Rattus norvegicus: one gene and its partners. The protein of the gene in region 3 purifies or fractionates together with the protein of the main gene of each other region. This does not show direct contact. Links are inferred from orthologs where the notes say so. Each region holds a gene or a part of one and is shown on either strand. Other genes may lie near its edges.

What was found.
Region 1: the proteins of Fbxl5 (region 3) and Mms19 purify together in Homo sapiens (affinity purification with mass spectrometry; 4 studies listed by BioGRID and IntAct, counting the BioPlex papers as one, with this or other methods). This does not show direct contact. The link is inferred for Rattus norvegicus from reciprocal best matches to the Homo sapiens genes FBXL5 and MMS19.
Region 2: the proteins of Fbxl5 (region 3) and Aco1 purify together in Homo sapiens (affinity purification with western blotting; 3 studies listed by BioGRID, with this or other methods). This does not show direct contact. The link is inferred for Rattus norvegicus from reciprocal best matches to the Homo sapiens genes FBXL5 and ACO1.

What each region holds. Positions count from the first base shown.
Region 1 is NC_086019.1:250,740,731-250,745,022, reverse strand, and holds the start of Mms19 (MMS19 nucleotide excision repair protein homolog), read left to right. Parts: upstream 1-1,440; 5' UTR 1,441-1,462; coding exon 1,463-1,577; intron 1,578-4,292. Other genes in the region: Ubtd1 (ubiquitin domain-containing protein 1), read right to left, coding at 570-639. UniProt on the Homo sapiens protein: Key component of the cytosolic iron-sulfur protein assembly (CIA) complex, a multiprotein complex that mediates the incorporation of iron-sulfur cluster into apoproteins specifically involved in DNA metabolism and genomic integrity.
Region 2 is NC_086023.1:60,054,572-60,058,765, forward strand, and holds the start of Aco1 (cytoplasmic aconitate hydratase), read left to right. Parts: upstream 1-1,323; 5' UTR 1,324-1,440; intron 1,441-4,194. UniProt on the Homo sapiens protein: Bifunctional iron sensor that switches between 2 activities depending on iron availability. Iron deprivation, promotes its mRNA binding activity through which it regulates the expression of genes involved in iron uptake, sequestration and utilization.
Region 3 is NC_086032.1:71,552,540-71,556,184, forward strand, and holds part of Fbxl5 (F-box/LRR-repeat protein 5), read left to right. Parts: intron 1-920; coding exon of another isoform or gene 921-934; coding exon 935-1,083; intron 1,084-3,645.

The DNA of each region.
Region 1 (4,292 bases), on a different chromosome or scaffold from region 3:
CACCTTTCCTAGACTCCCAGACAGCCAGGAGGCTCCAAAAAGCCCGGTGGAGAGGTGGAGGGAAATAAAGATTTCTATCCTATGGTCCTGCACTGTTTTTGCAAGTCTGATTCCCGCAGACAACGACCTGCAGCCCGATAATGACACAGTGACTCTCTGGAATGAGCGACTGTGTTCGCCTCGATCGCTCCGACTTCTGGGGACGCAGGCTGCCCACGCCGCGCCCCAGCCGGCCGCCGGCCGACCCCGGCCGGGGCTGCCAGACCAGCGGCGCATTCGCCTGGCCCCCTGCGCCAGCCTCGTCGCGGTCTGGAAACATTTCCTGCCCCTGCCCCCACTCCCCGCTTCCCGGTGGGAGCGAGTTGGCCTCGCAGCCGGGTCAGCGCTCGCAGTTACCCCAACTCGCTTCCCAGTCAGCCCGCTCCAGGGAGGGCCCCGTCTGGCTCGAGAAGCCATGGGGGAACCCAAACGCTGAGCGCCGAGCGAGGTCGCTCAGGAACCCCAAGGTTCGGGTAAGGCAAGGGCCAACTGGCAGCGCGCCGGGACCCCGTTGCCTTTCCTGGCGTTACCTGCTCGCTTGCGGGGGTGTCCCGGAGCAGCCGGCCTCTCCCGGCGCTGTCTCCCCACGCAGTTGCCCATGCTGGCTTCTCAGCCGGTCCCCATGCACCAGAGGCGGCGGTCGGCAGGCTGCTCCACGCTGCTGTCCCGAACCGCGGCGTCCCCGAGTCAATGGCTCCCGCAGCCCGGCATCGGGAGCTCCTGGATCTCCCCTGGGGCGCACTCTGCCCGACGCCGGCTTCGCCACAAACTTTGCGGGCCAGGGGAGAAGGAGGTGGCCAGGCCAGGGGGGCCCGCGACAGTGCCCGGCCAGAGACCAGCCCGGCTGGAGGGGCGGAGGGAGGGGGCGGACACCGTCGCAGCTACTCCGGGATCACTCGGAGCTCCCAGCTGGGGCCGGCCCCCCGGAGCCTGTCACTCACCTGCCTAACCCCGCCCCGGCCCGGCCCCGCTCCCTTCCTCCCGCTCGGGGTGCCCGCGCCACGGCCGCCAGCCGCCCCAGGTGCGCATGTGACCGACGGCACCGCCCCTCGGGCCGGGCCTGGTTTTCTCATTGGCTTCTCCTAGGGTGCGTACCGCCCCTCGGCCCCACCCAGCCAGGTGCCCGCCCTGCAGTCCGTCTCCCCGGGAGAGCCGCCGGGAATTATGCGCCTTCAACCGCCCCGGCTGCGTGCCCAGCAGTCACTTCCCCTCCCCGAGCCGCGCCCCAGCCCAGGCCCCGCCCTCTGGGGAGGGGCCGTTAGGTCCCTTAAGGAACCGCCTGGCCCAGAGCGGGCAGGCACGTGACCTGGGAGTGCCCCGCCCCCGAGGCCCGCGCCCAACTATTGGCTGTGGAGGCGCGTGCGCGAAGAGACGCATCTCGTGGCCACACCCACTTCCCCTCCCACAGTCTCTGGCTCGCGTCATGGCTGCCGCCACTGCTCTGGAGGAGGCAGCGGCGCCTATGGGCGCCCTGTGTGGCCTCGTGCAAGACTTCGTCATGGGTCAGCAGGAGGGGCCCGCTGACCAGGTGGCTGCAGGTATGGCAAGCAGCGCCGCGAGGCTTCTGCAGGGGCCGAACCGCAGGGAGCGGCCTCAGCACGGGCGCGCGGCGGGAAGGGAGTGAAGGGCGAGGTGATTGTGATTGGTCCTCTGGCCGCTCGGCCCCCACTGGGAGCGCTACTACCCTAACTAGTTTGCATCTTCCTTAAAGCCTTCTTTACATTTCGCATCTTTGTAATCCATAGATAATCATTACATTTCTCCGAGAGTAAAAGACTTGTTCAAGGCACAAACGAGCCCGGTAGTGGAACTGGGACTTGGACTTGGGTATTCAGGTCCAAATCTGGTGCTTGCACCGCAGGACCGCGTTGTTTGCTGAGTGTTAACGTGAGAAGGTTCTGTGTTTCAAGGGTTACACTTTGGCCGTCCTGGAAGTAGCGTGCGCTCCAACTGTCTGAGTGGTTGTAATTGGATGGAGGAGGGGAGGAGCCCGTCTGGCTCTAGGTCGGTGGGCGTGTAGATGACTAGTGTCTTTAAAACTTCACTAGTGTGTCTTAGTAGGCTTTAAGAAAAATTTATTTGTTTATTTTGTGTATGTGAGTACGCTGTCTAACACAACGAAGAGGGGATCGGATCTTATTACAGATGGTTGTGAGCCATCATATGGTTGCTGGGAATTAAACTCAGGAGCTCTGGAAGAGCTGTCAGTGCACTTAACCGCTGAGCCATCTCTCCAGCCCTAGGCTTTTTGATAAATTGTATTCATGACTTTTTAATGTCTCATTTTTTTATCCTTCTTCCCCAGAGTTCCAATTTTAGGAATCTCTTAGTTCCGAGTTTATCCAGGATTTGAACAAATAAAATTCCAGGGGGCCACCTTAGAATTCTTTCTGAATGGCATTCAGAGTCAGGTTTAAGAAATAGAACACAAAATAGATGTAGGGTTTTTTAAATCACGTTTGGAAGTTCATGAGAGAAGAAGTTTCTTTTGCAAATTAAACAGATTAACTTTTAGAAAATGTGAGAAATGAACTACTAGAAATATATTCTGGTCCTTAGCAATCAATAGTCTACATGCACTCTGCCTTTCCATTTCTGAGCACATATTTTTTACCCAGCATGAAAAGAATTGGGGACAAATAAACAAATAAGATACTATCTATGGTCACCAAAACATTATAATTAGTGAGAGAGACAACTGTGTTGTAAGAGGTAAGTATCAAGGGGGAAGCATCAAGAGGGAAAAAAGGTCTGCTATTGACTGGGCTTGGTAATGCATTCCTTTAGTTCCTGGATTTGGCAGGAGGGGGATGGCAAGTTTGCTACAGGCCAGCCTCAGCTACAGTGTGAGCCCCTATCTTATAAAAAAAAAAGCCCTGCTTAAGCTTGTAACATTTTACAACTTTATCAAGTATAGTCTGTTATGGGGTATTATCAATGCCATTTCCTCCCAGATTTTCCTATGGAGATTTCCCAGCATTTAACAAAATCTAAAGAATTTTAATCTTTATTTATTTATCTGTTTGTTTATTGTCTTTTGAGACAGGCTCTCTCTGGTAGAGAGAGCTTACAGTTCCAGGCTATCCTGGAACTCACTCTGTAGACCAGGCTGGCCTTGAACTCAGAGACCCAAACCCCTCCCTCCTGAATGCTGGGATGAAAGGCATGTACCATCCCTGCCCGGCTTAAAGAATTTTTAAAGATCATAGAATCACTACTTAGAACCTATCACTAACATTTTTTTTTTAATTTGAATTACCACAAACCTACCCATTTAAACTGCAGAAATCAATACATTAATCTCTAAGTTCCTTATTGAGCTTGTCATTGACTAGTGTTTACTTTTGGTTTATTTGGGGGTAAGATTTAGATCCAATGAACTATATCAGGAACATTGTTTTTCCCAGAGGCATATATTTACTTAATCCCACCCCCATACCAAGGTAAGAGTTACTATCTAATGCTATCTGTAATTGTTCTTCCACACTTGTGCACTCTGGGAACAATAATTTTGGGTTTTATGGATGCATATCTTAAAAAGATAACTTAAATAACTGCCTTCATCTTTTATTTTTTCATAAAATACATTTTTTTGTTTAAGTCTAAAAAGGGGGTAGCCTAAACTGTCATCTTGTCTTAGTGTTTCTATTGCTGTGACTAAACACCATGACCAAAAAGCAAGTTGGGGACAAAAGGGTATTTGGCTTACACTTCCACATCATAGTCCATCACTGAAGGAAGTCAGGACAGGACCTCAAATCTGGAAGCAGGAGCTGATGAGAGCCATGGAGGGTGCTGCTTACTGGCTTGCTTCCTCTGGCTTGCTCAGCCTGCTTTCTTACAGAAGCCAGGACTACCAGCCCAGGGATGGCACCACCCACAATGGGCTGGGTCCTCCCCCACTGATCACTAATTGAGAAAATGCCTTACAGCTGGATCTCATGGAGGCATTTCCTCAACTGGGACTCTTTTCTCTATGATGTTTCTAGCTGTGTCAAGCTGACACAAAACTAGTAGTACGTGTATGGTTTAAAATTAACTCTGTAGAACCCATCTAAGTGAACCCTGTTGTAATTGATTCCTCTTAATGAAAGGGAGGCTGGTGCAATGGAGTAGTAGTCAGTAAGGTTGAGTGGGCTGAAAGAGCTGGATCATATAACCTTGAACTCCAGCAGGAGAGTCTGAGTGGCTTGTTGTAGGTAACAGGCGTTCAGCCCTGTAAGCAAGGGCTGTAGAATGAAAGGAAATGTAGG
Region 2 (4,194 bases), on a different chromosome or scaffold from region 3:
CTAAAGACGAGTTGATATAAAATGTTGCATTCTGTGTAAGCTACAGAAATGTTGAGGTCCTGTTTTTCCGAGTATGTTCCTGATGCCACTTCCCGAGCTTTGGGCAAGTAAAGACAGAGAAACTCTCTTTTCAAAAGATCTGGGCGTGGTGTGGCAGGTGGACCTGCCATCTCAGTCGTAGGGAGTCGATGGTGGAAGGAGGTGGGGACACTGGAGGACAGAGATGACTGATTATGCAGTGTTCTGAGGCACTCAGAAAATAACGCCTGTACTTACCGCCCAGCATTTAAAAGAAAGGTGGAGAGAGGGCACTGTACAGGCTGGTTTTGTGTGTCACTTGACACAAATTAGTTATCAGAGAGGAAGGAGCCTCAGCTGAGAAAATGCCTCCATGAGATTCAGCTGTAAGGCATTTGCTCAATTAGTGATCAATGGGGAGGGCCCAGCCCACGGTGAGCCGTGCCATCCCTGGGCTGGTGGTGGTCCTGGGTTCTGTAAGAAAGAAAGTAAGCGGAGCAAGCCATGGGAAGCAAGGCAGTAGGCAGCCCTGCTTGAGTTCCTGTCCTGACTTCCTCCAATGAGTTGGAAGTGTAAGCCAAATACACCCCTTTCTCCTCAGCCTGCCTTTTGGACATGGCATTTCATCGCAGCAACAGAAATCCTAACAAGTCTTTTCTTCTTCTGGCTCACTGAGCTAGTCAGACACTTACAAGTCACACTCTGCCCCACGTGAGCGACAGTCGGCCTTCTCCCATGCTCCAGAAGAGGAAAAGCCTAGACACTTCCTGGGAGTGAACCACTAGCAACGCTAGATGCAGCCCCAGGGCCCAGTTTCTCCCGCCTATGGGGCGGAGCCACAAATATCAATGGCCTTCAGCTTAGGGCCTTTGTGGAGCAGGTCCTAGGCTCTGCCCCCACCCGAGGCCAAGATTCTCTGGATCTAGGGGCGGGGCCGGGTCCCGGGTCCATCCTCTCAGCCTAAGTCCCCAGGGTTGGCTCTGGGTTGGCCATGTAGGGACCTGGGATTCGTCCCTCAGTATGGCCTGCCTTCGGGCTCTGGAAAGAAGAGGTGTCCCAAGCTCTGCCCCTTGGCCGGAACCTCAAGTTCTGGCCCTTGGGGCGGAATAGGTCCTAGACTCCGCCCGTCTGCCACCGTCCGAAGGTTCGGAAGGGAGGGCGTGCCCTGAGCAGACTCCAAGCCTCAGCCATAGCCTGCAGCTTCTGAAGGGAGGAGGTGTCCAGGCTCCGCCCCTAGGGGCGTAGTGAGGCCCAGGTCCGGCCCCTCTCTTGCTGCAGCTGGTTCCGGCCCGCTCTCCCACGGGTCCCGCCTCGCAGCCGGAGCGTCCGGAGGACCGCTCAGGGGGAGGAGCGCAAAGTCGGCCTGGGTTCTTGCTTGCACCCGCCTGTGTGCTCCGTGCTCCGTGAGCCCCGCTGTGAGCGGTGAGTACCATGCGGCCCCGGGGCGTCCGTGCAGGCCTTTCCCACGGTACAGACCCGGGAACACCCGGCGATCTGCGGGGAGGCCGTGGAGCTGGCTCCTAGGGTGACCTCTCTGCCCGCTCCCCAGCCTGCGTCGCTTTGTACTGGGAGTGGCTCTTCTCGGCGCCCCGAGAGTTCTCGCCTTGGTGTGCGGGCCGCACCGCCAGGGTGTCAGTCTGCGGGGCCCGGCCCACGGGATAGAAAGGAGCGATTGTGCCCGGCATGTTAGAGACCCCAACACAGGGGAGAGACAGGTGGAGTGAGGGTGAGAGACCCCTCAGTGGAAGGGTTGAGCATAGAGTCCAAGGAGATCGATTGAGGAACCTAAGGAGAACTGGACAGTACTGCTCGGCCAGGCCAGTGCACTAGAACCGCACATCTCCCTGCAGCACGCATGACAGCCTCCAAGCAGAAGTTGCTTAACTTCTGGATTTAACACCGGCTGTGCACCTAAGGAACCTTTGTTATATAGATTGTACCTATTGATATTTTGTCGTGTATAAGTACAACGAATAGACATTTAATATACTTAATTCAGAATAGACCAATTATATTTCACATAACGGTGTGTGTGTGTGTGTGTGTGTGTGTGTGTGTGTGTGTGTGTGTGTGTGTGTGTTTAAATCCTGTATTTTCCCAAACACTGTTAGGGCATTTTTTAACCTTTCTACAAACCTCTGCTTCGAGGAAGACACTCAGCCTGTTGCGGTATGACATGTCATGTAGTTTCTGTATACTTTCAAGTATATCATTGAAAATGTAACATTGTGTTGTTTAGAACTGGTGTTGACAGTCCAGATACTTGCACCTGTGTTTCTCTGCAGCGTATTTTAAAACTACTGAGGCAGCCCATGCTTAGAAGGCATAGTTCACTGGGTTTGCCACTTTGTTTATGGTTCTTCCGCTCAGCACCATGGAGCTAGTTAACCTCTGATAGATACTCAGGAGCACTGTGGACCTCACTTCAGAACTGAGTACGAGATCCCCACAGATGGTGGTGACTCTTGGCTTCTGCAAACTCAATGCCTTTCATGTGTATCTTGGTTGTTTCTATGTAAACATCCATTTCCATGTAAGCATCGGTTTGCTGCATTGATGTAGCAAACCAGACCTGTGGGTTCGGGAGGTGTGTATGACTAGGCCATGCCAAACGTGTAGGGGTTGGTGTAAGCTTACCAAGTAACTGAGAGGTCATCTCTAGAATATCAGGTGGCACGTTTTTACCTCCTTTCCCCGATGTTCAGTTCTGTCTGTGGTTTCTAGCTTTGTATTTGTTGAAGTATGTGTCCCAGTCTCTGAATTCTGCTACTTTCACATTCCTGGTGAGCTCTGTGTGTGGTCCTTCCTCTGACACTAGAAAGCAGATGCCTAGCGTGTCGGTGTGTGATAGATGGAATCCTGCTTTAGATTCTTCCCTTTGTTGCATGCTGTCTACATAAATTTGAGATAGAAAATGTATACATATTATCATTCATATATATACATATGTATATATGTGTATATATATAGCAAACAAAGTTCTTTATCTTCTACCCAAAGAGGCTATTGTGTTCGGGTAGAACAGCTTAAGCACTTTGGACAATACATTAGAAATTATTTCTGCACACGCTGTTGCTCCCACAGTTGGGAAAAGGGGACTGGGATCTAAACTCTGAGCACTTGTGTTATAGTATAAGACTTCACATTGATGCTGGAGTCTCCCTTATTTGTCCCTGGAGTAGATCTATATCTCATCCCCAACTCTTCTGGACCTTGGGAAATTGATAATTTTGAAAGATGAAGGGGGTTGGGGATTTAGCTCAGTGGTAGAGCGCTTGCCTAGGAAGCGCAAGGCCCTGGGTTCGGTCCCCAGCTCCGAAAAAAAAAAAAAAAAGAACCAAAAAAAAAAAAAAAAAAAAAGAAAGATGAAGGGCCTGTCTGGAAGTCAAGAGCATAGGTGACAACTGTTCCGTTGAGATAATTTCCTCTCTGTTTGTGTACATGAAACATGGTCATGTAAGAAAAGCAATATCTGCTAGTAAAGTGTGCATTGAAAGCACATGCAAAGGAAGCCAGAGGCCTACATGGGAAGACGACAGTTGAGATAAATGGCATTTATTACCATGTGCCTGGCAAACAACATTCTTTGTCTTGTTTTCTCCATTCTTCTGTATTGTAGGAGAAAATACCTCTCCATGGGGTGGCTATGGTCTGGATAGGGAAATCCCTTCCAACCTGTGTCTGTTCTTGGCTTAGCCTTGTGGAGCTTCATTGATCTCTCAGAACCTTAGTGTCCCTGCCTTTACAACTAGGCTGTTGATAGTAGGAGTCCCAAGTACCCATGGTTTCCTGAGAGAGATTCAGTGTTTGTGTTTGTTTCTTCTCAACTCTGTGTTCAGCAGTGTTACATTTCTGTAGCTTGGAATAGGCCATGATGAGAATATTTATTTACACCATGGAAGTCATCCAGCACTTCATGTCTGAGCTTTTTCTACCCAGGAACAAATTGCTAAACATTTACCAGCACACTGCTGCTGTTGTTGGAGCCAAGGTGCATCTAATTTGTTTGGTTTCTTTTCTTTGGCAAAACCAGACCCCGTGGCTTGAACAAAGATACAAGGTATGGGGTGTTTATTTTGAATTTTCCAAATTTTTGATAAATGGGGGCAGGGGAGGCTGTATTTAAAATATACTGATATTGATCAACATTTTGTCTCTCTCTCTCTCTCTCTCTCT
Region 3 (3,645 bases):
AGAGTCTTGGTACTCACAGAATGTTAATCATGCAGGAGTGTCTCAATGGAGGAGATAATAATAAGATACCTGCATCCCATCCAGAAAGCTGAGAGTGGAGTTTGTTAATGACCTGGTGACCTTGCTGGTTGTGGAGGCAGACCACCACCCCCTTTTGATATAGAGACAGACCTCTCACTCAAATCCCCAGAATAATTACCCCAGACTCTTCTCCCTAGACCATTACTAATCCTTAGGGGAGATGGCATATGTACCTGCTATTGGTCAGAAACCACATTAGATTCTAGGTCTTTGAGCTATAGAACCAACCTTCATGGTGACATGAACTTTGTAATAAAGTTTCTATGTAGTCACACCTTAAGCATTATTGTGCACCTGGAATTGGCTGATATTACCTGGAAACCTTTTCCCAGATTGTACTGTGCTTTAAGTATGCCAGCAATGACTGCCTGGCGTTAGACGCCCCGCCGTCTGATCCAGGTTGATGAAGTCGATATGCAGTGGTCTTCATTCTTAATCTCTCTGAGTGCTTCAGCCTACTTCCCTGTCAGGAACTGCAGGGATCACCCCTCACTAACTTATGGGGGGAACTGGTAATTAGGTTTCAGATTTCAGTAATATTTTTTGATTTTTTTATTCTCTTATACAGCTTGGTGGGAAATGAATCTAGGTCTCGGTGTTTGTGTGAGAATTGTTACTGTAATGTTTTTATAAAGTGTCATATGCTTTATTGGAGTCTTGACAAGAAAAATGTAGAACATTTTCTTGAGTCGGATGTATTTCTGTCTAAGGAGGAGTCAGTCAGTTATCAGTGTTTTATAAAAATTCATAACTTATTGCCAACTTGAGAGTTAGTACAATACTAGTGGGCCATAGCAATATTAAAAATTCCAAAGATTACTCTTTCCTGACTGTCAGAGTATTTCTTTTGCAGGGTTCTGACTCTGGGAGGAGGACTGCCTTACTTGGAGCACCTGAATCTCTCTGGCTGTCTGACTGTAACTGGTGCAGGACTGCAGGATTTGGTCTCAGCATGTCCTTCCCTAAATGACGAATACTTCTACTACTGTGACAACATTAACGGTAATGCCTTTTAGCTGAGACATGTTGAAGAATTTAAGATTTTTGTAATTTTTTTTATAGTTTTTATTTCCTAACTGCACAAATTGTCTCACTTTCAGGTTTAGTCCTTTAAATTTAATAAATTAAAATGATTTGGTTCCTTAATCTAATAAAAGCAAAATGCCACATATTTTTACTTTGTGAAGGTAAGTTTCTTATCCATTGTACCAGAATTTTAGGCATGTAAGAGTTTAAATCACTTAAAAATGACAAATTGTTATAGAAATACTAAGATTACTTTAAGATTTTGGGAATTCCACTGTAGTATTCTAGCATTTACCCATGAATAACTTAAAAGTATTGATTTCTTAGGAATGACAGGATCACATTTTCTCACAGCACTGCTTTATTTAAGTTTGGTAGATAACAAAAGAAGACTTTGTTAATGGGAACTCCTCAGGAGGCACAGGCTTGACAGTTTCTATACTGTTTCAGAAGCTGATTCCTGAGCCAACTTAAAAGTCACGAGGCAGGGCATGGGATGTAGCTGGTTGGAAGAGTGCTTGCCCAGCATGCATAAAGCGCAGGGTTTAAGCCCCAGCATCACACAACACAAGGGTGGTGGCTCGGTGCTTGTCATTCACTTCAGCACTCTGGAGATAGTGTCAGTAGTTCAAGGACATCCTTTCTTTCAAGTTTAGCTTGGGCTATGTGAGACCCCATCTTAATCCCTACAGACACACAGACACAGACAGATATACAGGTACCACTAGTTAAACATCCCCCCCGCCCCCCCCATTTTTTTCTCGTCTGTTTTTCATTGAGCTTGTTCAAACATGCATTTTCAAATTATGTTTGTTGTTCTTTGGAGCATTTGATCTTATGTAGTAGAAACTGAATATTTCAGAAGCATAATAAAGCTGCTCCTTGATTATTAATAAACAGAACAAATCATCCTGCGTTTGTAACTGGAAACAGATTTAAATAGTCCCATTCTCTTATTCACCTATCTTTTATTTATACTGTATACTTTTGGTTTTGAGAGCCCAGTTTATTCTCAAATGAGAGGGGAGACCAGAGTTTATCTCAGGGAGAACAATCATGGATTCAGGGAAACTAGAGAGAATAATATTAGAATGCAGAGAAGTTAGCAAGTTTTCTATTGCTTAGAAGTTAGATTTCTCTTAAAATAAATGAGAAGAAAGGAGATCTCAGCTCTTATTTCTAGAAGAGTTGACATGTTCTTAACAGAAGCAACTTGGTGGAGCCTGTATTGCTCTCTCTTGATGGCAATGTAACCAAGCAGTGGAAAAATGATTCTTTTTAAATATCTAGCTGAACAAATAAAAGCAAAATTATGTTCATGAATGGAAGTTTTTGCTTACTGTTAAAAATAAAGCCATGGGGGACTGGACAGGTGACTCAGTGGTTAAGTGGATGACCCCATATTGCTATTACAGAGGATCAGAGCTTGCTCTCCCAATAGATTCATGTGGCAGGTCACAACAGCCTGTAACTCTGGCTCCAGGGGATCCAACACCCGTTGACCTCCTGTGGCCAATGCACTCATATGTATGTGTACCCGTGCACATGTCTATGCAGTCTGAAAGAAGAAAAATAAATATGGCTTTTAAAAACAAAGCTTCCTAAGCTTACAAGATTCAGTTTAAGATGAATACATAATTTTAATGAAGATATTTTATTTGTGTATTACATTTGAGTTGCTTATATAATTTTGGTGTAGGTTCCATTTGGAAACAAATCTCATAGTGAGTGAACTCTGTTTTGCTTAATGGAGATAGGTATTTGGTGGGAAGTGTAAAGACTTAGCTCAGTCTTATTATTTGCCTACTTACTCTGTACTTAACTGTTTTTAAACTTTTTGGAAAATATTTAGATGAAAAAGGTAAAGTGCTTAAAATCTTTTGTACTTTCTCAATATTTAATCTGTTTTGAATATATAATATTAGCATTCCAAAGGAGTTATTTACTCCTGTTAAATGTAAATTTTTTTATTTCAAATTTTTAGTAGAAACTTTTGAGAGATCCGACTTTTAAGGTTTGAAAGCTATTTACAGTTCAATAATACAAATAATACAATTCTAAATTTCCTTTCTTGATAGAGCATGATTTGGAAGAAATGGAAATGCTTTAAAGTTTATATATAATGCATTTTCTAGGAGTCTAGGTAGTTGCTTTTAAAGCAGTAATTAAGAGTCAGTCCTTTTTTGTAAAAGAATATACAATTTAGAACGTGCTGGAATTGTACCCACTTGTAAAAGGTGACACCATTGACATGGCTTCTTTGAAAAATACTCAACTTATACATGAAATACTTGTTGAGGGTTAAGAAGCGCTCATTTTTATTTCTGAAAATAGTAATAATCTAGTACATGGTTAATTCAGAGTAATGAGGAAGCACACATATTTGAAGTAACATTTAATTTAAAATGTATTTTGTTAAAAGAAAATCTACATGATTACCACATTGTTAGTAAAAGAAGTTACTGCTGATAAACTTTACTTGTAGACAAGATAGTAAACAAAAAGAGAGCATAGTCTGCCTCCTAAGCAAAGGCAGAC